4 linked regions of the Macaca fascicularis genome follow. The protein of the gene in region 3 purifies or fractionates together with the protein of the main gene of each other region. This does not show direct contact. Links are inferred from orthologs where the notes say so. Each region holds a gene or a part of one and is shown on either strand. Other genes may lie near its edges.

The links.
Region 1: the proteins of PDE4DIPP2 (region 3) and PRKACB purify together in Homo sapiens (affinity purification with mass spectrometry; 5 studies listed by BioGRID and IntAct, counting the BioPlex papers as one, with this or other methods). This does not show direct contact. The link is inferred for Macaca fascicularis from reciprocal best matches to the Homo sapiens genes PDE4DIP and PRKACB.
Region 2: the proteins of PDE4DIPP2 (region 3) and PRKACA purify together in Homo sapiens (affinity purification with mass spectrometry; 5 studies listed by BioGRID and IntAct, with this or other methods). This does not show direct contact. The link is inferred for Macaca fascicularis from reciprocal best matches to the Homo sapiens genes PDE4DIP and PRKACA.
Region 4: the proteins of PDE4DIPP2 (region 3) and CDK5RAP2 purify together in Homo sapiens (affinity purification with mass spectrometry; 3 studies listed by BioGRID and IntAct, counting the BioPlex papers as one, with this or other methods). This does not show direct contact. The link is inferred for Macaca fascicularis from reciprocal best matches to the Homo sapiens genes PDE4DIP and CDK5RAP2.

What each region holds. Positions count from the first base shown.
Region 1 is NC_088375.1:150,408,343-150,413,318, forward strand, and holds part of PRKACB (cAMP-dependent protein kinase catalytic subunit beta), read right to left. Parts: intron 2,365-4,976; coding exon 2,239-2,364; 3' UTR 1-2,238. UniProt on the Homo sapiens protein: Mediates cAMP-dependent signaling triggered by receptor binding to GPCRs.
Region 2 is NC_088393.1:14,534,918-14,541,433, reverse strand, and holds the start of PRKACA (cAMP-dependent protein kinase catalytic subunit alpha), read left to right. Parts: upstream 1-2,661; 5' UTR 2,662-2,864; coding exon 2,865-2,910; intron 2,911-6,516.
Region 3 is NC_088375.1:113,984,120-113,989,994, forward strand, and holds part of PDE4DIPP2 (myomegalin), read right to left. Parts: intron 4,365-5,875; coding exon 4,248-4,364; intron 3,681-4,247; coding exon 3,454-3,680; intron 1,157-3,453; coding exon 1,013-1,156; intron 1-1,012. UniProt on the Homo sapiens protein: Functions as an anchor sequestering components of the cAMP-dependent pathway to Golgi and/or centrosomes.
Region 4 is NC_088389.1:37,584,793-37,590,667, reverse strand, and holds part of CDK5RAP2 (CDK5 regulatory subunit-associated protein 2), read right to left. Parts: intron 3,067-5,875; coding exon 2,989-3,066; intron 2,026-2,988; coding exon 1,760-2,025; intron 1-1,759. UniProt on the Homo sapiens protein: Potential regulator of CDK5 activity via its interaction with CDK5R1. Negative regulator of centriole disengagement (licensing) which maintains centriole engagement and cohesion. Involved in regulation of mitotic spindle orientation.

The sequences.
Region 1 (4,976 bases), about 36 Mb from region 3:
AAAATGGAATGGCTGACTAGCCCTCAAAACCAATGTATGTCTAGGGGTCATCTACCTAAGGTAGATTCTACAGCTGGGCACTAGTAATTTCATAGAAAAAAATATTTTTTTTAGAATTCATAGAAATCTTTTTGATTACTGAAAACTAAATTGTAATAATCAAATTGTCATCCCCATGACTTATTAAAATAATTTTACAATAATATACAACAAAGCTACCATAGAATTTATAGTTTACATATAGAATATATTGGTCAGCATGTTCTTGGGTCTAAATGAAATACAAGAAAATTAAAATATTTTATACAAATGATGTTTTAAATTTATTAACATGACGATATGTCTTTGTTACATAAAACTTGCTAGAGCAGAGTATTTTAATTTTTTTCTTGCACGTTTTAAATATAGATGGACCAGTGAAATCAATATCAGCATTTACGTGACATTACCATGCAGAAACACTTGATAACCGAAAGACATATAGATTGGTAGAAAGAACATCTCAGACAGGATTTTTTTATGTCTTCAAAGGTTTTACAAGGGTGTGGTACAGATGAAAAGAAGTGGTGTGAGTGACCTACCTGCACCGATAATAAAGCAAATGGAATGATTATATACATTAAGATCAGCTTGATTAAAAACAACAAATTTTATATGCATGTAAATTGATCATTAAAATGAACCCAGTTTAACCCTTCTTGTGTGTTGTTTTAAGGTAGGTCACTGAAACGCAGAGATAAAATCAGATGGGGAAAATTAAAAGTAAAGAAAAAACCAGAAAAACAACTGGGTTAAGCCATGGATTCTCAACAAACACTGAACTAAATGTGCAAAAGTGCTTGAAATTTCCACCTGACAGCAATGTTGTTAAGTCAGTTGGCAAAAAAAAGTGTAGAAAAAAAACTAACCTCTCAAATACCAAAATTGTATCTGCATGATCGATCAGACATTCTGTTTACTGACAGAAAAGAGGTTAGAAATTATGAAATATCTGAAAATATCATACCTCAAAATTAAAATACAATTGTGGCAGTTTTACACACTTTGTTCCCTTTCCTCATTGATGAGGCATGGGATGAAAGCAGAAGTTGCAGCAGTGCCCCTACCCTAGGCTCACAAATATAGTATACCAGAATAATTAGCTGGAAACAACTTCTTTTTAAGGGTTACAGAACAAAACAAACGTAAACCCTCATTTAAATATGAATACCTCTATAATGTTTTCAATAACCAAGCCATTTTTTGACTTTGCAAAGTGTAAGTATTTATCCAAACCAATGTTCTTTTTAGTTTGCTTATTTTCATTTAAAAAGTTTATGATGAGGACTATTAGAGAAACTGTAAAATTTGTCACTTTCATTAACCATGTTCTATTAAAATACTGGCTAAAATCCTTAAGGAACAGTTAAGGTTTAGAAAACTTAGAACTCTTCTCTAATACCTACAGAAATGCTGGTACCAAGTGAGAGAATCTGGGTGATGATCCATATCATTAGTTTTTCCTGCTGAAAGTGACACATTTGTCACACTACACAGGCTGGTCACTTCATTACTCAAGGGGAGGAGGATATAAAAGGAGGGAAAGGCAACTAGAACCTCTGATCTACAGCCATCCAAATTTCTGGGTCTAGCTGTACTGTATTAGTCTACCAAAATTTACTGCCGGAATAGTGAATTCCAAGAAAGTTAGTTTTAATTTGTATAAATTTCCTTGGTGATAAGACAGTCTATCTTCAAAAATTACCAAGAGTTTTGGCAAAACCGAGTCTGAGCTACTCAAAGTAAAAATAATTATTAGAAAGTTTATCTTCAAGCCATTGACCAACAACAATATTGGCAAGAACTACTAAAAGCAACACTTATCCTTCCCTTCAAATATCACGTAGCCATAACACTGCCCATCTGAAACACCAACAAAATAAAATGGAGCACTGTTTAGAGAAAACCAATGAAACTGGAAAAGGAAGAAATGGATGTAGGAGAGGAGAAAGACAACCCAAAGATAAGTAAGAAAGTGGTCTAGTACTGTGTTATGGCACAGACAATGCTTGCTTAGCGGTGCCTTGTTACATAGGTGGATGCAGAGTGCACACACGGGATGATGGCAATAAAGACCTCACTCAGTCGTTGGAATGAAGGAACTAGGTAACTGCTTCAACAAGGACGGTCTCAGCTCTACCTTATCTCTCAACAGAGCGCAAACACTGAGTGTGAGCTCGGATGTCATCTTGTTCCTCTTTAAAATTCACCAAATTCTTTTGCACATTTTTCTGTTATAGAGACACGGATATCTTCTTCTTCATAGTCATCAAAGTTGCTGGTATCTCCAGAGCCTCTAAACTTTGGTATGAATGGAGCTTCAACCTATAATTGACCGAGAAAGAAAAATAAGAAAAAAGAAAAAAAAATTCCTGAGAGTTTTCAAACACCAAGAAAAATAAATTCCCACTGTTATTACATGGTGGAATCCTTAGATGCCATTAGGTTCCTAAAATGTAACAGGGCTAGAAGCAGCAGCAAACAGTAGGTTAGCTATTAACCTCAACATTTTGATTCAAGGAAGTATGCAGGTCAACAAAATACTTAAGAAATTTCTGGGATAATTAACTGTTGGCATCAAAATCCTGGCTCCTAAGGTTACAAAACTTAAGTGTTAATGTTTAGTTCCTTGTTTTTAAGACCTTATCTTTTCCTATTCCTTTTGTAAAAATTCTTTTCTCCTGAAGTTACAGATAAATCTCAGACTTACTTTTAATTGCTTTCCTTTTTTAATTCCCAAGTTTGTTTTGTTTAAAATATCTGGCCATCAAAACTTTCTGAGAGGTTGGAAAGAAACATATCTCTTTTAGAATTAGAGAATTGTTAAACCTTAAATATTTTTCTCCTTTGATCCTAAAAGTAAAATGTCTTCCCACTACTTTGAATATGGTCTTCCATAAAGATTAAATGTGGGTACTGAATACGTTTGAGGAAAAGATTTTAAAAGTTAAAAAAAAATCATAATCTGCACAGCCTTTAGAGAATTTACAAACAATTACAGTCGCTTTATTTTGTTCTCAATACAACACTGTGAGGAAGGAAGGACAGGTGTTCTTACTCCCATTTTACAGATTATAAAAGAGTCGACCAAATTCACATGATGGATAAGCGGCTAAAGCAGCTTTCAAATTCATGATTCTCCACTTCTGGCCCAGAGCTCTCCAAGGGTTTTTAATTTATATCTCTTTCAGTAAAACATTTTCTAGTATACATAATCAATATATATGGTTATTTACTTACAAATTATTTAGATGCATGACTATACTAAGATATATACACACAAATAAGGTATTGAAAAAGAACAAGGTAAAAATAAGCAGGAATGGGACTTCTAATATTATCTTTTTGTTTGAGAGCTGGTTGCCTTGCATGCCCTGCTTTGGGGACTGCTGTTTTGCACTGTCCAGAAGAATGAGATAAGCAGACAGTTGCTTCATGTCTAGCCAGCCAGCAATTTAGAATAACAAACCTATTGGGGCAATCACATGTAGAAAATGATTGTACAGTTTGAGTTGTTCAGGCCACTTCTTTCTTCGGCCTTTTTTCTTCCCTGATGCATTTGCAGATGTATCAGAGAATAAAGAAGACAATGAAAACTATTCATATTTACTATGATTTTTGCACCGCTGTGCATAGTTATAATAGTTGAGAAGATAAGAAAACAAATGGTTAAAGTACTCTATTATTCTTATTTGTAAATTATCCAGGGATCCTTACATCTGTTTCAACGATAATCAAGATTTGGCTGTCAATCAATTTGTCCATTACTACAACCTGTACGTTACAGTGTGCCACTTGTTGGTAGGTTAGCTGTTTATTACCTGGGAAAAGTCAAGCCCTTTGAAAAGCACATAAACTCTAAATGAGTAGTGGCAGTCCAGTTCTACTCCATTTTGGGAATAATTATTAAAAATTAAATACATAACATGAATAGATTAGTAAATGATTGCCATTTGGCAGAAGATTTTATTTGTAAATATAAATATGAAAAGATGCAAATACATCATAAATCTTTAGGATACTAATAAAGCTGACAAGCCTCAAGGCAATCTAAAAAATATACCTCGAAATAGCATTAATTAACAATAAATACAACAATAAAGATAATATAAGCAATGATAATTAGAAAGGGAAATGGATGATTTTATTGGAAATATAAATTTCTTAAATTGACTCAAAAAGTAAAAACTCAAAAAGACCAATATCCAAGAATTAGTTTGTTAAAATTTATAAGGAATAGATATAAGATAACTCTATGTTCCTAAATTTTCTGCAGAATAAAAGGATGGAAACTTTCTAAACTCATTTTACGAATCCCATATAATCCCAACTTCAGAAAAACATAAACTATAGATTAATAAAACTTATGACTATGGAAGTAAAAACACTTAATAAGATTTTGGCAAATATATTTCAGGCAAATATTCAAATGTTAATACCCCATGATTAAATGGTATTCATTCCAGGAAAGTGAGGATGTCTCCCTGATATAATTCATCACACTAAAATGTCAAAAAAGACAAAATACAGTGTATTAGAAATCAACAATATTTTGTTAATCTGATAAAGAATACCTATCTCAGCCAAATGGCCAACTTTATATTTGGTGGCAAAACATGAAAGGCAACAAACTATAGAAATGATCCCTGAAAATATATTCTTGGGCATTTCCATTCAAAGCAGGAACAAGACAAGAAAGCTCAAGAGCCCTACTGCATTAAAATATTGTTTTAGACATTCTAATATATATAATAAAACAAAAATGGAAATGAGATGTAAATACTGAAAAGGAACAGACAAAATGATATGCCAATCTCCTGTGATTGTCAATAAAAATCCAAAGGAATCACTGAAAAATGTGGAAATCAATAACAGAATTTAGTAACATGGTCAATTATAATATAAACATAGAAACAATATGTTTTGCCCATATCCTA
Region 2 (6,516 bases), on a different chromosome or scaffold from region 3:
CAACCAGGCCTCCCAGCAAGTCCTGCAGGGCCCATCTAGAGGACTTTGGGGGCCATCAGCTGCATCCAGGTCTGTCAAACTCAGCCCCTAGGAAAGAACAGGCCTCGGGACTCCTCTAGTCCTGGCCAGAAGGATGATCTCGCTTTTCTTGTACAGGCCTATAAGAAGCAGGTACTTCAGTTCTAAATTCTTTCTGACTTGTGTTCTTTTCGTCTTCATAAATTCTACCTAAGGCCATTGTGCCACTGTGCACCCCTGAGTACCACTGACCCAAAGCTTTCCGACAGACCTCCCTGGCCTGCCTAGAGGCTTTCTTGGTCAGTGCCCGTCAAGGCTCTGGTCCTGCTGAGCCAAAGGTTCTGTCATTCCTTTCTCTTCCCGTTCACTGAGCAGATCCACTCCAGCTTTCTGGTGTCACAGGCAGGAATCTTGGTTAGTAGGTAGACTTAGATCCCATTTCTGTCCTGCTCCCAGGAAGATTCTTAGGTCCTCTTCAATCCAGCAGCCCCTGGAAAACTCTGCTCCCAGAGGTGTGATCAGCAGGATGCTGAGGAACCATGTTGCCTTTCCTGTCAATCATAGCCACCTTCCTGTTATCTCCTAAATGGATCTGGCTTTTTCTAGTTGGAAGATGGTGTCAGAGGGCCTGCCTGCGCAGTCTGTCTCTGGGTCGGGGTCAGGGACCCTCTGCTTCTGGCAGCCTTAATCTTCTCTCTGCTAGGACCAGGGTGATTTCAAGCCAGGGAAGCAACTGGGACCCTGAAAACCATCCCTCCCCAGCCTGCTCTCCCTCTCTGTGCCCTGGTCCCCTTGCTGCCATGTGGATGCTGTTGTGATTGCTGTTTGTATATTATTAAAATGTTTTTATATTAAAAATGTTTGGTTGGTCTGAAAATTAAAAGCACTTGGTTTAGAATGATTGTTTGTGCTTTTGTCTTGTGTGGACTGAAGCAACTTTGTCCACTCTCCCCCAGAAGTGGTCTCATGACCTGTCCAGTGGGTGGGCTGTCCCATGTCTTCTTCCCAGCTTCCTACTCCAGTCTTAATTGGTTCTACAGTATTCCAGACTGAGGTTCCAGAAGAGGTTTTTGTCAAAATTTAAGCAAACCAGCTGTCCTGCAGATAGATTATAATCAGTGATTTTTCAGACTGCCCTTGACCCACAGGAAGAAATTAACATCGTGATCCCAACACACAAACAGCAATGCTTTTATTAAATTTTACTAAACCTTAACCATGTAACCATCCAGAGGCCGAGTGGTCAGCCATTTTCGCGTAATTCACAGAAAGGCTCTGACTCTCCCTCCCTGGAACCATGGTTGATCTGGGAACATGGGTGCAGACAGCGGCTGGAGAGGGCGTAGGCTGTTCAAGTCTAAGCAGCAGATCGGCTTGCAGTTGAGCCCAGCTAGCCCTTCCGTGTCAGGGTGACCTGACTTCTCCCCTCCCCTGACCCTCTCTTAAGTGCTTCTCAATCAGGAGCAGTTCGGCCCCGCAGAGCACATTCACCAATGTCAGGAGACAGCGGTTGCCACAGCCAGCAGGAAAAGAGGAGGGGCTACTGGCATCCAGTGGGTACAGGCGGGGGATGTTGCTCAACACCCAGTGGTGCGCAAGACACCCCCAGCAGAGAATGATCCAGCCCCACTGTCAGTAATGTCGCAGTTGGGAAACCCCGACTGTCCTCGGCTAAGTGTGTACTGAAAGAGGATCCCGAAGGAAGGGGCAGGTTCCCTTTGCATTGCCGACAGGAAATACAGACGGGGAATGGGAGCAGGGAATCTGCCTGGCTGTACCCCAGATTCCTCATCTGTGCAATGGGAGTGATGATGGTAGCACCTACGCGATGGGAGTGTGGTGCGAAGGAGCGTTAAGTGGGTGCCAGCTCTTACTACTGGCAGCCCAGGGCTAGGACCCAGCAAAGGGGTGGACATTGAGCGCCCCTTCCCAGCCACTCCTTGCGCCGGGCCCGGCATCCTCCTGACTGCGGCTGGGAAAACCCAGGAGGCCCCGCGGCCTGGCCCCCAAGCAGGCCTGGCCACGGCTGCCCAGCGCCAGGCCTTATGAATGACGCCGGCGGCGGCCGGGCGACCTCTGACCCGCGCGCCGGTCGCGCCCCTCCCCCGCTGGCAGGTGGTCAGCGGCTGCGCCGGGCAGGCCGCGGCGCCAACCCCGGCTGGCCGACAGCCGCTGCCGCACTGAGCGGGGGCGGGGGACTGCGGCGCGCGCGGGGCCGGCCGGGCGCCCGCCGGGGCCGCCTCCTGAGCCTCGGAGTGCTGCGCGGCCGCCCGCCAGCCTCCGCCGCCCCGCCCCGCCGGCCCGGGCCCGCAGACTGCGCCTCTGCCCCGCCCTCTCACCCCCGGATTGACACTGAGCGTTCTGCTGGGGGCTTGTCGAACAGGGCACCTCCGCCAATCGGCGGCCTCGCGGGGCGGACCCCGGGCCCAGTCCAGCGCCTCGGCCAATCGGACGCGTCTGCCCGCCCAGCTGCGGCCTCACGAGCGCGTGAATGGCCGAGAGTCCGCGGTGACGTCACGAGATTGAGAGCCTATAGCGGCGAGAGAAGGTCGCGGGAGGGCCAATGGGCGGCGGCGCGGAGCCGTCAGTCAGGGCGGCCTAGGCCAATGAGCGGCGGGCTGCGGGGGCGTCACGGACAGCAGCAGAGATCTTGGGCTGAGGTTCCCGGGCGGGCGGGCGCGGAGAGACGCGGGAAGCAGGGGCTGGGCGGGGGTCGCGGCGCCGCAGCTAGCGCAGCCAGCCCGAGGGCCGCCGCCGCCGCCGCCCAGCGCGCTCCGGGGCCGCCGGCCGCCGCCAGCACCCGCCGCGCCGCAGCTCCCGGACCGGCCCCGGCCGCCGCCGCCGCGATGGGCAACGCCGCCGCCGCCAAGAAGGGCAGCGAGCAGGAGAGCGGTGAGTGCCCCGGCCGTGACCCCGATCCCGGCCCTGCGCTGCCAGTCCTGGCCTTGTCCATCATCGCCTGGCCCCTCCCCCTACGGGGCCCCCCCATTCCTCTCTGCCTACCCCCCAGCGCCCCTTGCCCCGGCCTGTCCAAGGCTGGGGCCCGCGGGCCCGCAGAGTACCCCCTGTAGGGGTCCCCTTCCCCTAGGGCCGCCCCACACTGCAAAGACCGTGCTCCCCCCCAGCTGTCACTGCCAACCATGGCACGTATGACCGCTGGGGCCCCACATGGGGCCCTGTCACCAGCCTACCCCCTCCTTTCCTGGCCCCTCTCCCCAGATTCTAATCCCCCCACTTCCTCACTCACTTCTGTCGCCTATGGGATCCTCTGCCTGACCCCGACCCATGTTTCTGCCAGTTTGGGAATGCGATGGGGTCTGTCTGCCTCTACCGCGCAGGGACCTTGGCCACTTGGTGACCACACCCCTCCCCCCTCCAGCCCCCGCCATCTTTCTCCTGCCCTTCCCCTCTTCACCTTAGCACAGCCCCCGCTTCCAAACCCATCCTACCCCCCTGAGCATTTCCCAGAGCCACCTCCAGCATTGTTTTTTTCTTCTGTGTCACTTGGCATGGGGGACAGGATCTTTCTGGGTCCCTCTGCCTCTCTCATCCTGTCACTGTGTCATTCTGCTTCTCTGCTTGGGCTCCGTCCTCCAAGCAAGCGTCTGTCCCTGGCTGGGGTAGCAGACTGTTTATGAACGTAGAGAACTGCTTCAGTGCTTCCAAAGCCAAGTTTGAGCTGGTCTTGTTGGGATTCATTGCGTCCTCTTTCCTGCGTTGGGGTAGGGGGGTGGTGGCAGAGCCCCCTCGCATTTCCTGCCTTGCAGTGAGCTCTAGGCTCCATGGAGGGCCCCTCAATAAATGGTCGTTTCACAACTGAGGCTCCGTCATTCACCCAGTGCCTGGGGCTTCTTCCACCGCTCCTGGTTTGGGATGAAAAGTGTCTGCGTTTAGCGAGGTTCATTCGGTTTTAATTGGGATGGTCAGAAAGAGCACTGGGGAGGGGGAGGCAGTCAAAGAGAGTAATGGGTGATGTCTAGTGATTTGCTTTGATGTCTAGTGATTCTGATCATTCCCAGGGCTCAGCCAGAGAGAGACCTTTTTCACCCACTTGCCCCCAAATTATGTTGGCCTTTTCCAGCCAGCCAGAGAAAGAGATTCTCTATCTGGAAATACCATCAGAAATGGTCTTGAACCCCATTCCCAATTCTTATAGCTCTTAAATTGTTGTCACGTCAGTCTGAAAGCTGGAAGGCGGCTGGGATCCCCTGTCCACTTACCCAGAAATAGTCAGAACTATTAGTCGAAAAGGAAGGCCAGTTTTTGGTCTCAAACCCCAGCATCTGAGTTCCCTGACTACCCCCTCCCAGAAAGGTATGAAAGCCAGGGAACTTTATTCCTATACGGATTCAGATAGCAGAACTCAGAGTTACAGAGCAATCATGAAGAGGCCTGACATGTCACCAATGGGCGGGGGCCGGGGAGGGAAGTGCCTGTAGCTGAGTGCTTGATGACAGAGGAGCAGGTGGGTAGTGTCCAAAAAAGGTCTGGGCATGAGCTTGGAGGGGACTTGGCAGAGGGGGAGGAGTCAGGCCCCCAGCAGGTGAGGCCAGCTGGGAGGTGGAAGGTGGAGGCAGGCAGCTATGTATTACGGTGGCTCAGTTGAAAGTTGGGGAGATGACAGTCCTGGAAAACCTTCAAGGCTATTAGACACATGTGGTGGCGGGTGGAAAGCTGCACAAGAAAAAGGATCCTAAGAAAAAGATCAGAGGCTCTGGAAGGAACCACTGATTCTCTCAGAGCACAGGTCAGACACCCAGGAATGAATGATCACGGTAAAATAGAGCTACTATTTGTTGGGCATCTAGGCTGTGCCACAGGCTAAATGGCCAGGCAGATAGATATATCTACTCTAGTGACTTTCATAACGGGCTGTTATCCAAATTTTCCAAAGGAGCCCTCTGGCAGAAATGACAGCCATGACATAGATGATGTCACAGAGGCAGGATTCACATCCAGATCCACCTACCAGCAAACTTCTTGGACCCCAGAATTTCCCGACTCTGACATTTTTCAGCAGCCTCCCAGATTTTTACTCTATCATATTTTCTTAATTTAAAATAATAAAAATTTTACTCACTTCTGTTCAGATGTAAACTTGGAGCTCATTCTAAACAATAATATAAATGAAATCATGGGATTGCTATGCCAGTTATATTTTCTCTGATACACATTAAATACAGTGTAACTAGATAAATGAAACATCCCGAAAATCATGTCATGTTCTGCCAATGGGACCATGTCACACTTTGAGAAACGCCCGAAGCTGTACTTCCTCCCAGAGGCTTCCAGAGAAGGAAATAAGATGAGGAAGGAAGTCCCTCTTTGCTTTGAGGCGCTCTGATTCTGAGAGGATAGAGTTGGACAAAATTTGCCTTCTTACAAGGGTGGGGCAGGGGCGGGGGCAGTAGCCAGGCCAGCCTGCAGGGGGCACCTGGATTTCATCTGCCAGACGCCGGCCCGACTGGGGTCAGGAAAATGCCCAAGCCTTGGGAGGCACCAGTTAAGCATCCTGCAGTCCCCTGTGGTACCATCTCTGCCAGGGCAAGACAGACTCCGCCTCCTCCCAAGAGGCCAGGGATCCAGAATGAGCCCTGGAGTGGAATGGGGAGAATCTACACCCAAAGATGGCAAAGCCATTGGGAGAGCTGAGAGGGCCGAGAAAAAAGACTAAGTCCCAGATGCTGGCCAGGTTCGAAGAATGGAGAGGGAGCAGCGGCCCCAGAGGGCAGGCGCCCAGGTCAGACAGCCAAGTGGGGCTCAGGTCGTGGCTGGCACTGACTGAAGATACCCCTGGGAGCTGGCCCATAGGGGAAGAGGCAGAGCTGGTAAAAGGGAGCCCCCCCCCATCCCCGGGACACAAGCAGATCCCGGCAAAGAGAGAAAAGCACCCCCCAAGAAGACGCTAGATGGGAAGAACTAGTGCCATGCAACATCCTATGGATGCCTAAGACGGCCAAACACGTTCTGTGCCTTGGCAGTTGTATGGGTGCCCAAGAGGGTCTTGTCAAGGTAGTGCTCCCCTTAGCGCAACCACGTCTACAGAAACTTGGAGGGTCCTATCTGTCCCTCCTCTGCACCCTAGTGGCCTCTGGGTTGGGTTTCTCTTCCTGATCCCACCCCACGTCTCCCTAGCTCCCCCTGCAGGGAGGGTTCTGGGGATGGACAGCCCGGCAGACACGGTAGGTCTCATGAGCCTTCCCAGCCACCGTAGTCCCGGTGCCCTGAGAACAGGACTGAGTGATGGCTTCCAACTCCAGCGATGGTGAGGCTGAGCCCTGTTACTATAGCAACTTCCCAGGCACACGCTGCCCCTCAAGTCAGGGAGGGGCTGCAGAGGCGTCTGGGGCACTGGCGAAGAGGAAGAGGATGTGAACCCCTGGCTGGCCCTGGAAACGCCTCCTGTATAGCCCCAGGCTGTGCGGACTGGGGAAGAACAGAGGGGATCGGTGGCCCAGTTCAGACAAGGGAGGATGGTCCACCCAGCAGGGGGGCCAG
Region 3 (5,875 bases):
TGGCTCTTTCCAATTCCAAGAAGGATTCTACAATCTTCTCCACCCTCCTGAACTGGATTTCCTCCTTCACAGCCTCAGATACCTCCAGCTGAGGACAGTTTAGGATGAGGCCATTAGGTAGGAATATTGAGACTCTGGAATTCCCCATGTAGACTAGCACAGGCCCACACACCTGTAGCTTAAGAGAATTTCGCTTCAGGCTGGAATAAAACTCCCAGCTCTGAAGAGGACCTTGCTTTAGTCCTGATATCAGTTCTGTCACTCCCTTCACAGGCAAGTTCAGAAATGATACATTCGGGAGAGAGATCTGGACTCAGGAAAGTTTGCAAGTTTGTAAATATTTGTGCCAATATGGAGATGGCAAAACACCGTCTCCCTGGAATGAGCCTAGCTGGATCCCAAAGGTGTTGGTGACATTGATCTGGAGCTGGGATCCCTGGGGAGGGGATCCTGAAACCTGTCTCCTCGAGGGTCTGCCAATCAGAGTTAGCCTGAGCTCTGAGCAGATCCTGAGGAGTGGCTGACTTTCCCCAGGCCTGGTCCAGAGATGCCAGCTGAAGTGATATGCTGGAATTCCAGGCAGCGGCTGAAAAGGCTCAGTCTCATGGGGGCATTCTGTGATCATGTGACCATGGGACCTGAGGGGTGGGAGGTGGGTGCTGAAGCTTTAACTGAATTTCAGCTCAGCCAAACTTCAGAGAGGTAAAGAAACTGAACCTTTATGGATTGCCAGGGTTATGATGTCTCCGCCTTCTCCACACCCCTTCCTCTTCTTGATTTTTTATCCAGGGGCCAGGGGGTTGGTGGGGAATGGGATGTATTTACAGCTGCAATGAAAGCAGCCACCATGGGTCAGAGATGTCCCTCCAGGGACACTCCTCTAAGGTCCTGTCTATCCCAATTCACTATGTGGCTCCCGATTTTCTGGAAAAGCTGTGACACTGAAGAGACAGAACAGTATTGGAGGGCAGGAAAACTGGGTTCAAACCAAGAAAGGACACTGGCATCTTACCACTTTGCCAGGCAGCACAGGGATGTGGGTGCTTGGCAGGGCCGCTCTCCAGAACACGGTGAGGAGGGAAGCCGACTCCTCTAGGGCATGGTGCAGTGCAGTGGTGCTGCTCCGAAGCTCATGTATGCCTTTGCTGCCCATCACCTGGGGAAAGGTAACACCACAGAAGCGGAGAGATTACTTTCTTCCCCCTGCATGGGCTCCCGCTTCCTTTGTGAGTGAGGCACAGAACATGGGCCTGCTTGAACTGTGAAGCCCTCGCACAACCATTTGCAGCTCTCAGAACTAAGGTGCTGGTCCCTTTACCAGGTATGCCTCCCTCCACCTGCAGAACCCACAAGGCTTTCAAAACTCACCCCCCTTGCTGTGTCCTCTATGAACCTGTTACCTTCCTTGCCTGAGATAAATGACCACGTTTGCATTGGCGGCCTCACAGCACAGAGGATGGCTTCTCATGCTGTGTCTGTAGCCCCTTACTGTGCTGATCTACTTGTGTGTGTGTCTTGCCCTCTAGTGTGGGGTTCCGTGGAGGCAGGGCTGTCCCTACGCATCCATGGGTCTCCAGCAGCTCAGACAGCACAGCCCTGGTGCCTGGTCTCTCTCACTGGCAAGGCGCTCTGAGAAGCTTTGCTGACTGCCTTCCCTCCCTCTATGCAGTCTGCACAAGGAAATGCCATGGCTGCCAGGCTTCTCACCCCTTCCACATGTGGGGGCCATACACCTGCAAATCCTTCAGTTTCTGTCCACCCCATTGTGTCAACTCTGCCCACAGATGGTCATGTGCCTGCATAAAGCAATGGCAACAAAAGCCAAAATTGACAAATGGGATCTAATTAAACTCAAGAGCTTCTGCACAGCAAAGGAAACCACCATCAGAGTGAACAGGCAAACTACAGAATGGGAGAAAATCTTTGCAATCTACTCATCTGACAAAGGGCTAATATCCAGAACCTACAAAGAACTCAAATTTACAAGAAAAAAACAAACAACCCCATCAAAAAGTGGGCAAAGGATATGAACAGACACTTCTCAAAAGAAGACATTTATGCAGCCAACAGACACGTGAAAAAATGCTCATCATCACTGGCCATCAGAGAAATGCAAATCAAAACCACAATGAGATACCATCTCACAGCAGTTAGAATGGCGATCATTAAAAAGTCAGGAAACAACAGGTGCTGGAGAGGATGTGGAGAAATAGGAACACTTTTACACTGTTGGTGGGACTGTAAAATAGTTCAACCATTATGGAAAACAGTGTGGCGATTCCTCAAGGATCTAGAACTAGAAATACCATTTGACCCAGCCATCCCATTACTGGGGATATACCCAAAGGATTATAAATCATGCTGCTATAAACACACATGCACATGTATGTTTATTGCGGCACTATTCACAATAGCAAAGACTTGGAATCAACCCAAATGTCCATCAGTGACAGACTGGATTAAGAAAATGTGGCACATGGCCGGGCGCGGTGGCTCAAGCCTGTAATCCCAGCACTTTGGGAGGCCGAGACGGGCGGATCACTAGGTCAGGAGATTGAGACCATCCTGGCTAACACGGCGAAACCCCGTCTCTACTAAAAACACAAAAAATTAGCCGGGCGAGGTGGCGGCGCCTGTGGTCCCAGCTACTCGGGAGGCTGAGGCAGGAGAATGGCGGGAACCCGGGAGGCGGAGCTTGCAGTGAGCTGAGATCTGGCCACTGCACTCCAGCCTGGGTGACAGAGCGAGACTCCGTCTCAAAAAAAAAAAAAAAAAGAAAATGTGGCACATGTACACCATGGAACACTATGCAGCCATAAAAAAGGATGAGTTCGTGTCCTTTGTAGAGACATGGATGCAGCTGGAAACCATCATTCTCAGCAAACTATCTCAAGAACAGAAAACCAAACACTGCATGTTCTCACTCATAGGTGGGAACTTGACAATGAGATCACTTGGACACAGGAAGGGGAACATCACACACCAGGTCCTATTGTGGGGAGGGGGCAGAGGAGAGGGATAGCATTAGGAGATATACCTAATGTAAATGACGAGTTAATGGGTGCAGCACACCAACATGGCACATGTATACATATGTAACAAACCTGCACATTGTGCATATGTACCCTAGAACTTAAGGTATAATAATAAAAACAAGAAAAGAGGAAAAAAAAAAAAAGCTCCCAAAGGCTGCTAGGCAATGCCACGTGTTTCTGTGGGGCTGAGGGGAAATATCCAGTCAGCTACATCTGGAACAGAGCAGAACTGACAGTGAAAATAGGAGACAGAGAAGACAGGGTCTGGCTGCTGTACATGGAAGAGGAAGCCTCAGCTGTTGAGAGATGCAAAGCACGAAAAACAAAAACAAAAACAAAAATGGTGGGAGAAGGAGTTACCATCAAAGGAAGAAAGGGCACAAGGAAACAGTGCATCTAAAGCTACAGGTGTGATTACCTCTGTGCCTTGGGCTTCAAGGCCAGGGAAGCTGCACGCTGACCTCACAAGAGACACTATCTTTTTGGCCAGCAGCTTGCCCTCCACAATCTGCTGTCTCAGGGCACTGTAGTCATCAATGTGGCCAATGACATGGCGGCCATGCTTATTGGCAAAGGAGCCATCAGTAGCATCACCCTCCAACTTGGGAGGGGTCTTCATTACTGGAGAAGTATCCAAACCCAAGCCTGGAAAAGAAAATAACAACACAACAGAATCCTCTGTTATTCATAATGATATCCTAGGTTTGCTCCAACTCAGAAGAGGTAGGAGACAAGAAAAGGAAGAGGCTGGGAACAAGAAAGGAAGCCTTGGAATGTACAAGGGTGGGGCAAAGACCATAGAGATCTTCTGGCTTCTATATTTTTGTAATTTTTCTTACATCATCTCTTAATGATAAATTTGCCAGGGGACAATTTTTTCTTATTGGCCAATGAAATAGGACAAATTATAATAAATAATAAGTTTCTGGGTAGAGAAGACACAGACAAGGAAATCAAGCTGGATACAGAGAACATTTTCAAGAATGGAGAGATTATGGTGCAATGAAGCATAAACAGCAGTAGGAAAACTACAGGAGGATGAACAATGGCAAGAAAGGCAGCCACAGAAGGTGCAGTGAGTAGGGCTAAAGGCCTCGGGGCATGCAGAGAAAACTCTGTAAATACAGATAATATGTTTAGAGACAACAAAAGATTATTTGCATTAATCACTTTCCATCATCAGTCCCTGGGCCCTTTAGTTGCCATATTTACCATTTTTTCTGTGGATTATGGCCGTTTCTGAGCCAGGAGTAGAGGAAGCAGAGCTGGGGAGGACCAGAGCTGGGGAATTCATCGCAACATCCCGGACTGGAGGGGACACAGCTGAATCTAGGGGGTAAAGGCAACCACAGTTTTCAGGAGCCCTGGAACACACAGCACATGAAGCACATGCACACCTAACCGTCCCCACTGAGGTCTAAGGTGGCAGGACTCTCCTCTTACAGAATTATCCATACCCCACAAGCAAAAGCAAAAGCCAGTGAGTCACTGAGTTCAGAATGTTTCCATTCTTCAGAACAAAAAGATATTCCTTTGACTGAGGGGTGTTCCATGAGAAAGAAACCTCTAGTTTGAAAAATTATTAGGTGTACTTTTATAAACCGAGTGTTGAGTATAATTTGTGTGTGGTATCTAATACGATGCCCTGTAACTAAATGTAATATGTATAAATATACATCGTACATATTAAAATGTAGAATCAAGGAACCAAGGAATGAATGGATTCATGGGGGACTAAACTCAACATTCTAGTCATCATTCTGATGAGCTAATAATACTGAAAAAGTTGACTTGTATGAGAAGAACGGAGACAGAAGGCTTGGTGGGTTAACATTGTCTTGCTGGAGACTAAAAAGTAACCCTATGGTGGAGGAATTGGATAATATCACAAAGAAGGTAGAAAAGGTCCTGCTCAGGCAAGTGTGGCCCAGTGCCTGTTTTCCAGCTCAGGCCTCGGGGGTGCTGGAGAAAGCGGGGCAGGGATGGCGCCAGTGGGGCTGAGTCTTGGCTGCTGTGTGGGAAGCCAGTGAGAGGGGAAGGCCTGGTTAGAAGGAAGAGTTGGAGACATAACTGAACACCACAACCATCAGGGCAGCCCAGAGGAGGGCAAGGCGTCCACCTAACGTTAGCTGAGAAGTTCCTGGCAGCCAGGCGGTTTGCTTGGCAGCCTACATGTGTTTTTTTAATTGAATTGCCAAAACAGCATAATCATGTTATTGTCACCTTTATTTGACAAATAAGGTTACTGTCAGATAAAGGAGCATCTACAAGAACCAGAGAAACATAAAGATTCACATGACGCAGAAATAGCTGGCAGGAGAGTTTGAAAGCTCAGCTTTAGAGAAACTGAACAGAAGTGGCTCCTGATTTGAATGAAATTGAAGGTGTGGACATGGAGGTGAGTGGAGATGGTGTGCTAAATGGTGTATTAAAAGGAAAAAAGGACAGAGGAAGTAGAAATTGAATGATTTAAGAGACTCGGGGGACACCACTGACATTTCAATGAAAACTGGGAGAAGTGAGATTGATGGGGGATGTTGAGAAGAGAAGGGGGACCTGGTCAAACACACCTATCTGAAAAGGCAGGCAAGAGGTGGGGTAGAGAAAGCGAATGATGGCTACCCGAAATAAATCACCCACCACCCAGGACTTCCCCAGAGCCCTGTTTCCTTAGGGGCAGGAACATTTTGCCACACACGGAGTTCCCCACCTGTGATGGAAAGGGGGACTAGAGAATCTGGGAAGGTCGGCAATATGGAGACAGGGCACCATGAGCTGGAAGGAACACAGACTGAAAATCACAACACCTGGTTCTGATCCTGGCTTTGTCTATAACTTCT
Region 4 (5,875 bases), on a different chromosome or scaffold from region 3:
GGCCCACAGAGACCCGCCCAGAGAAAATGACACCAACAGCAAACAATACATGGTTTTGTCTTTACTGGTCCCTGTTAAATGGCCCTGCTGTAGTGAATATGATATCACGGCCTTATACCGCTGGCAGAGCAAACTCAAATTGGGAGGTATCAAGGGCTTAAGAAAATTATCTATGTGATTCAGAAAAGGGGAAATACAAAAAAAGAAGAAGAAATGAAAAAAGCATTTGTTTTTATAAGTAATAAAATAAATACAAAAATAGAATGAGGTCAGGCACAGTGGTTCATGCCTATAATCCTAACACTTTGGGAGGCCAACGTGGGAGGATTGCTTAAGCCCAGAAATCCAAGACCACCCTAGGCAACATAGTGAGACCCCCATCTCTACAAAAAATAAAAAATTAGCTAGGTGTGGCAGTCTACACCTGTAGTCCTGGCTACTCAGGAAGCTGGGATGGGAGGATTGCTTAAGCTTAGGAGATCAAGGCTGCAGTGTGCCACAATCATGCCACATCCCCCAGCCTGGACAACACAGCGAGACCCTGTCTCAAAAAAAAAAAAAAAGAGAAAAAAGACACACCCTTTTTAGATAATAAAGTAAAAAAAAGTCATTATAAATAAAAATACCTGGGCTGGGCACGGTGGCTCACACCTTTATCCCAGCACTTTGGGAGGCCGAGGCAGTTGGATCACCTTAAGTCAGGAGTTCAAGACCAGCCTGGCCAGCATGGTGAAACCCGGTCTGTACTAAAAATACAACAATTAGCCGGGCATGGTGGCAGGTGCCTGTAATCTCAGCTACTAAAGAGGCTGAGGGAGGAGAATCACGTGAACCCAAGAGGAGGAGGCTGCAGTGAGCCAAGATCACACCACTGAACTCTAGCCTGAGCAACAGAATGAGACTCCATTTAAAAAAAAAAAAAAAGAAATATATATATATATATATATATGCTGACATACTCAGGCATGATAGCTGACACCCGTAATCCCAACACTTTAGGAGGCCAAGGTGGGAGGATCGTTTGAGCCCAGGAGATCAAGGCCAACCTGGGCAACATAGTGAGACCCTGTCTCTAAAAAATAAAAATAAAAAAAATAGCCAGGTGTGATGGCACATGCCTGGTCACAGCTACTTGCGAGGCTGAGGGAGGAGTATTGCTTGAGCCTAGGAGGTGGGGTCGAGGCTACAGTGAGCCATGATCACACCACTGCACTCCAGCCTGGGTGACAGAGCTAGATCCTGTCTCAAAATAAAAAAACACAACAACAACAACAACAAAACCTCAACAAAGACAAAAATATAGTGAGACAAACATTCATGAACAGAGACACAATTGTTTTGGAAAGTAATGCAGCAACAGTTATCACCAAGAGCCCTAAAAAGTTCACAACCTTTGAACTAGTAATTCCACTTCACAATGGGTGACAGCTAGGTGGATGGGCAGATGAGTGGACAGACACACCAGGGTGCAGATGGAGAGAAGAATGGATGAGAGACCAGATGTACAGAGGCCGTCATGGGAGCAAGACAGCAGAGCCCATGAAGTAACTGCAGGAATACAGAGCATGAACCCCATCAAACACAGCCACCACCCACAGTCCCCCACACTGGACCTGACCTCTGAGCTCTCTGGGGCCACACTTCCTAGTCCCTCTTCTCAGGGTCCTACTGAGGACAACTGCACCATCTGACTCCCCTACCCCTTCCATGGACACTCCCAGGGAGCAGCTTGTGCCTTCCAGCTCTGTGGTCAGGTTACCTTTGTTCCCAGCTCTTGACTTGTGTAGCTAGGAGCCTCTTGGGTTTGAATGTCCATTTCGGCAAGAAGCCTCTGTCCCTGGCCGATCTGTTTGAGCAGGGCCTCATAGTCCTCAATCAGGCCCAGGACGTGGCGGCCGTTCTTGCTGGCCCACAGGCGGTGGCCAGCGACCAGGCGGGACACACACGGAGTGCTAGTTGCCGAGCTGCCACTGTCACAGGAGAGGGAGTCCGTGTCATTCTCAGAGAGTGGAAGAGTCTCTGAAACTGTAAAATGAGAGGTAGGATGTAAAATCTGTTTCAGGTAACACTCTGCGTTCAAGGCGCTTATGATGTTGAAGCTAGCTAGGAGGGCTAGGAGAGGCCCTCGTGCCCAAATGCCACCCAACACAAGCCCAGTGGGGAAAAGACGCATGGCTCCTGGACCTCTATCTATTACCCCACACTGGCTTACGAGTCATCTTGTAGGATAGGCTCAAGTCAACTCAACCAACACTTTTCAACCACCCACTCAGCAGAAGACCCCAGATTCACAAGGATAACTCAAGCTGGTGCCTGCATTCCAGTAGCCCACAGTCTGATCAGAACACAGACACTGCGGAAGGTGCAACAGCAGAGTGATGAAGGGCCAGAGCCAGGAAAAACAATTATCTGTGCAGGGAGGGAGAGAACAGGGAAGGCTTCTGAGAAGGAGCAGCATTTGAGCTGGACTGAGCAAGAAGCAAGAATTACACTAATGATGAGTCATTCTGACCAGGGACAGCAGCAAAGCCATGTCACAGAAAAATGTGCATTCATGATGAGTCTTGAGGAAATGGGACTTTTACTGGCAAAGAGTGGGACAAAGGGGGTCTAAAAGTCACAGTGAGAGGAAAGTGTGGGCCTGTCTGCAGGATGGTGACCCCTGTGTGGCTACACCAGGGTAAGGGATAAGGCTGGACGGGCCCACTGGAGCTGGATCCTGGGCGGCCTTGAAAGCCTCACAAAGATGGTCACAATTTTAATCTAAGGCAACAGGGACCCAATGATGTTCTAAGCTTGGTAACACCTAGGAGTAGATTAACTGGCTTGAAGGAGGATATCACCAGCTGGAGATGCTGAGAACTTGAAATCCCAAATCCTTGCCAAATACCCTCCTGAGGTGGGACTAGGGACCCCCTTTTCTGCAATTTAAAAAGTCTTACTGTCACATCCAATGCTGCCACCGTTACCCAGACTTCAGCTTTGTACCTGATTTTGGTGTCACTGCCTGGGAGGAATCAAACAGATCAAATGAATTATCACTTTCCATGGGATCTTTGTCACCATCTACAAAATGCAAAACACGAGAACTGTTAGTTTCACTGCTGTCAGCATTCAAGAGAGAACTGAATGAGAATACAGTCAAGCCCCTCACATTCACTAATTCATACACACACAAGCATTCCTTCAAATCTTCACTAGGCCTCTGTCCTGCCAGGCCCACCTGTGTGGGACACCAGGGAGACAGAGTGACCAGGCCCAATCCGTTCCCTAGAAAAACTCTTAGCAGAAAAGTAAACAAGCAATTTTATTTTAGTGTTAATGAAAACACAGGCTGTTGAGGCTCAGGTGAGGGCACTACCCCCAACTTGGCTTCCCAAAGGCTAACACCTGTTTTAAAACCTTATGTGTTTTTTTTGTTTGTTTGTTTGTTTGTTTGTTTGTTTTTTGATGGAGTCTTGCTCTGTCACCCAGGCTGGAGTGCAGTGGCACAATCTCGGCTCACTGCAAGCTCCGCCTCCCAGGTTCATGCCATTCTCCTGCCTCAGCCTCCCGAGTAGCTGGGACTACAGGCGCCCGCCACCACGCCCGGCTATTTTTTGTATTTTTAGTAGAGATGGGGTTTCACCATTTTAAGACTGACTGTGACTGACCTGTGGTAAGAAGGAGGGAAAGAAATGCCAGGCAGCACAATGGGCAGGTGAGAGGCAGACAGTGGGACGAAGAGTGGAATCATCACTCAGGGAGAAATAAGCAGTTCATAGACCCAAGGCCCAGGGGGCAGGGAAGGACAAAGTAGGATGCAAGGCCAGAACCAAGAGGACTGAGGGGCCCACTCAAGGGCTTTGGGCAACGCAATGTCAAGCTGAGGTCTGTATTTTGTACTGGAGGAGTTTTTTTTCTGTCTGGAGGCTGCCACACTAATCTAAGCCAGAGATGAGAGTAACCCACAATAGGATCTGGGGGGTGATGTATTTGCAACACTGTAAGGAGGCAAAATCAATAGATGATGTACAGATGATCTGTGCAACACGTAATAATTTGGAAAGCACTTTCACATATGAAAAGCTATTGGACTCAATAGCTCAGTGGGCAGAACACATTGTAATTCAGATTTCATGGAAGGGGAAACCAAGTGGCAGAGATAGAAAGTGATCTGTCCAGCATAACCCAGCACGTCAGTGGCAGAGAGCAAGCGAGCCCAGGGTTTAGGATCCCCCCATCAGAGCTCCTGCACCACTGGGCAGTGGGCTGCTGCACTCCAGCACCACCCAAGGGTCTGCTACAGTTCCTAAGGCCAAGGAGCCAGGAGGTCAGCTCCATAGAGCTGGCCCTGAGAGGAATCACTCTCAGCGAAAGACATCAGCCTTTAGAACATAATTTTAAAAACAGATGCACTTAAATACAGACCTGAGAAGTCTTTTGCAAAGGAAGAAATGCTGCTGCCTACAATTCTGATCTTGACTCAAGAAAATTAGAAAACTTTTCTGCTGAGGCAACACCGTGAATTCTGAATGCTCTCCTGGATGCCTCTTGCCACACATGCTGAGGGCTGCTTTCGGCAAATTTCAAAGGCAAAGGCTGTTTGATGGCCTCCTCGCTTCAGCTACCCAACGCTCCTTCCTGGGCACCCCAAGCACAGAACTCTTCTCCTTGCTTCAATCTCCCCTAGCCCACCCCCACAAGCTCCTCAAAGCCTTAAAAAGGGCCAGGTGCAGACCCATGTTAAAAATATTAATGCCCGATGCTGATGAGGTCACGCAAAAACCACTACCTTTGTACACTTCTGATGGACAGACCATTTAGAAGGTAGAAATATGGCACCTTTCTAAACTTCTGAGATTCCCCTGGTCGGGTTTTCTCCTAAGAATATTGTTTAACAGCAAAAAGTATATTAACATTGATGTCTATTATGGCTCTAAATCAGAGACCACTTTAATAATCAACGGGGTCATGGACTGGTGACTAAGAATAGCCTGCAAACAATCATTAGGAAGCCCATGTGAAAGCAGAGGGAACATGTATGATGCAATATTGGACAAAAACAAAGAAAGGACACAGAATGACACAAAAACCAATTTGAAAAATATAAATTCATGCCGATATTTAATAAATGAAAAGAAATATGCAAATTTTAAAAAATGATCAATGTGTAGAATCATCAACTTTTTTTCTCTGTTCACTTTTTTCATATTATTACATCATCTTTTTGGTTAAATTTTAAGATCCTTGTCAATGAGAAATCAATGAACTAATCACTACAAGTTCTAAGGCAGACTGACTAGGTACTCCTTAAGAGATTTATTTTTATTTTTTTAACTAGAGGTATCCAAGTAAAAGTAAGTGCAAACTTTAGTACAATACTGCTTTTAAAGCATGCTGGCATTCCTCATCCCACTGGATACACATATTTACCCCATGGGTGTCAGGAAGATAATCCCAGGATACCCAAGGCTCCAGAGGGTCCAGTGGGTTTAGGAACAGCCCTAGAGTCAAAGCTGGAAATGGTTTCTAGTTCCAGCTCTGCTGCCTAATTGCTATGCCACTTTGGGCAAGCCCCATCCACTCTCTGGGCCTTTGTTTTTCATCTCTAGAGCAAAGAGGACAGGCTGCCTGACTGATTGGAGTCTAACCATTTACTGGTTTGCTCCACACCCTGTGGTGGGCAGGTGGCAGAGGTGTCTGCTCCTCTTTCTGGTACCCCCCCACAGCCTCTCTCCAGGGCTAGGCAATTAACCTGCAAGCAAATGCAAAACAGATCCACTTTTTAAACCTATCAGGATGATTTTCAGATCCTGAAAGACACTGAAAGCCAGATTAAGATGTTTGGGTTCCCTTCTAAAGGCAGTAAGAGAAACTAAAAGAAATTTCAGCA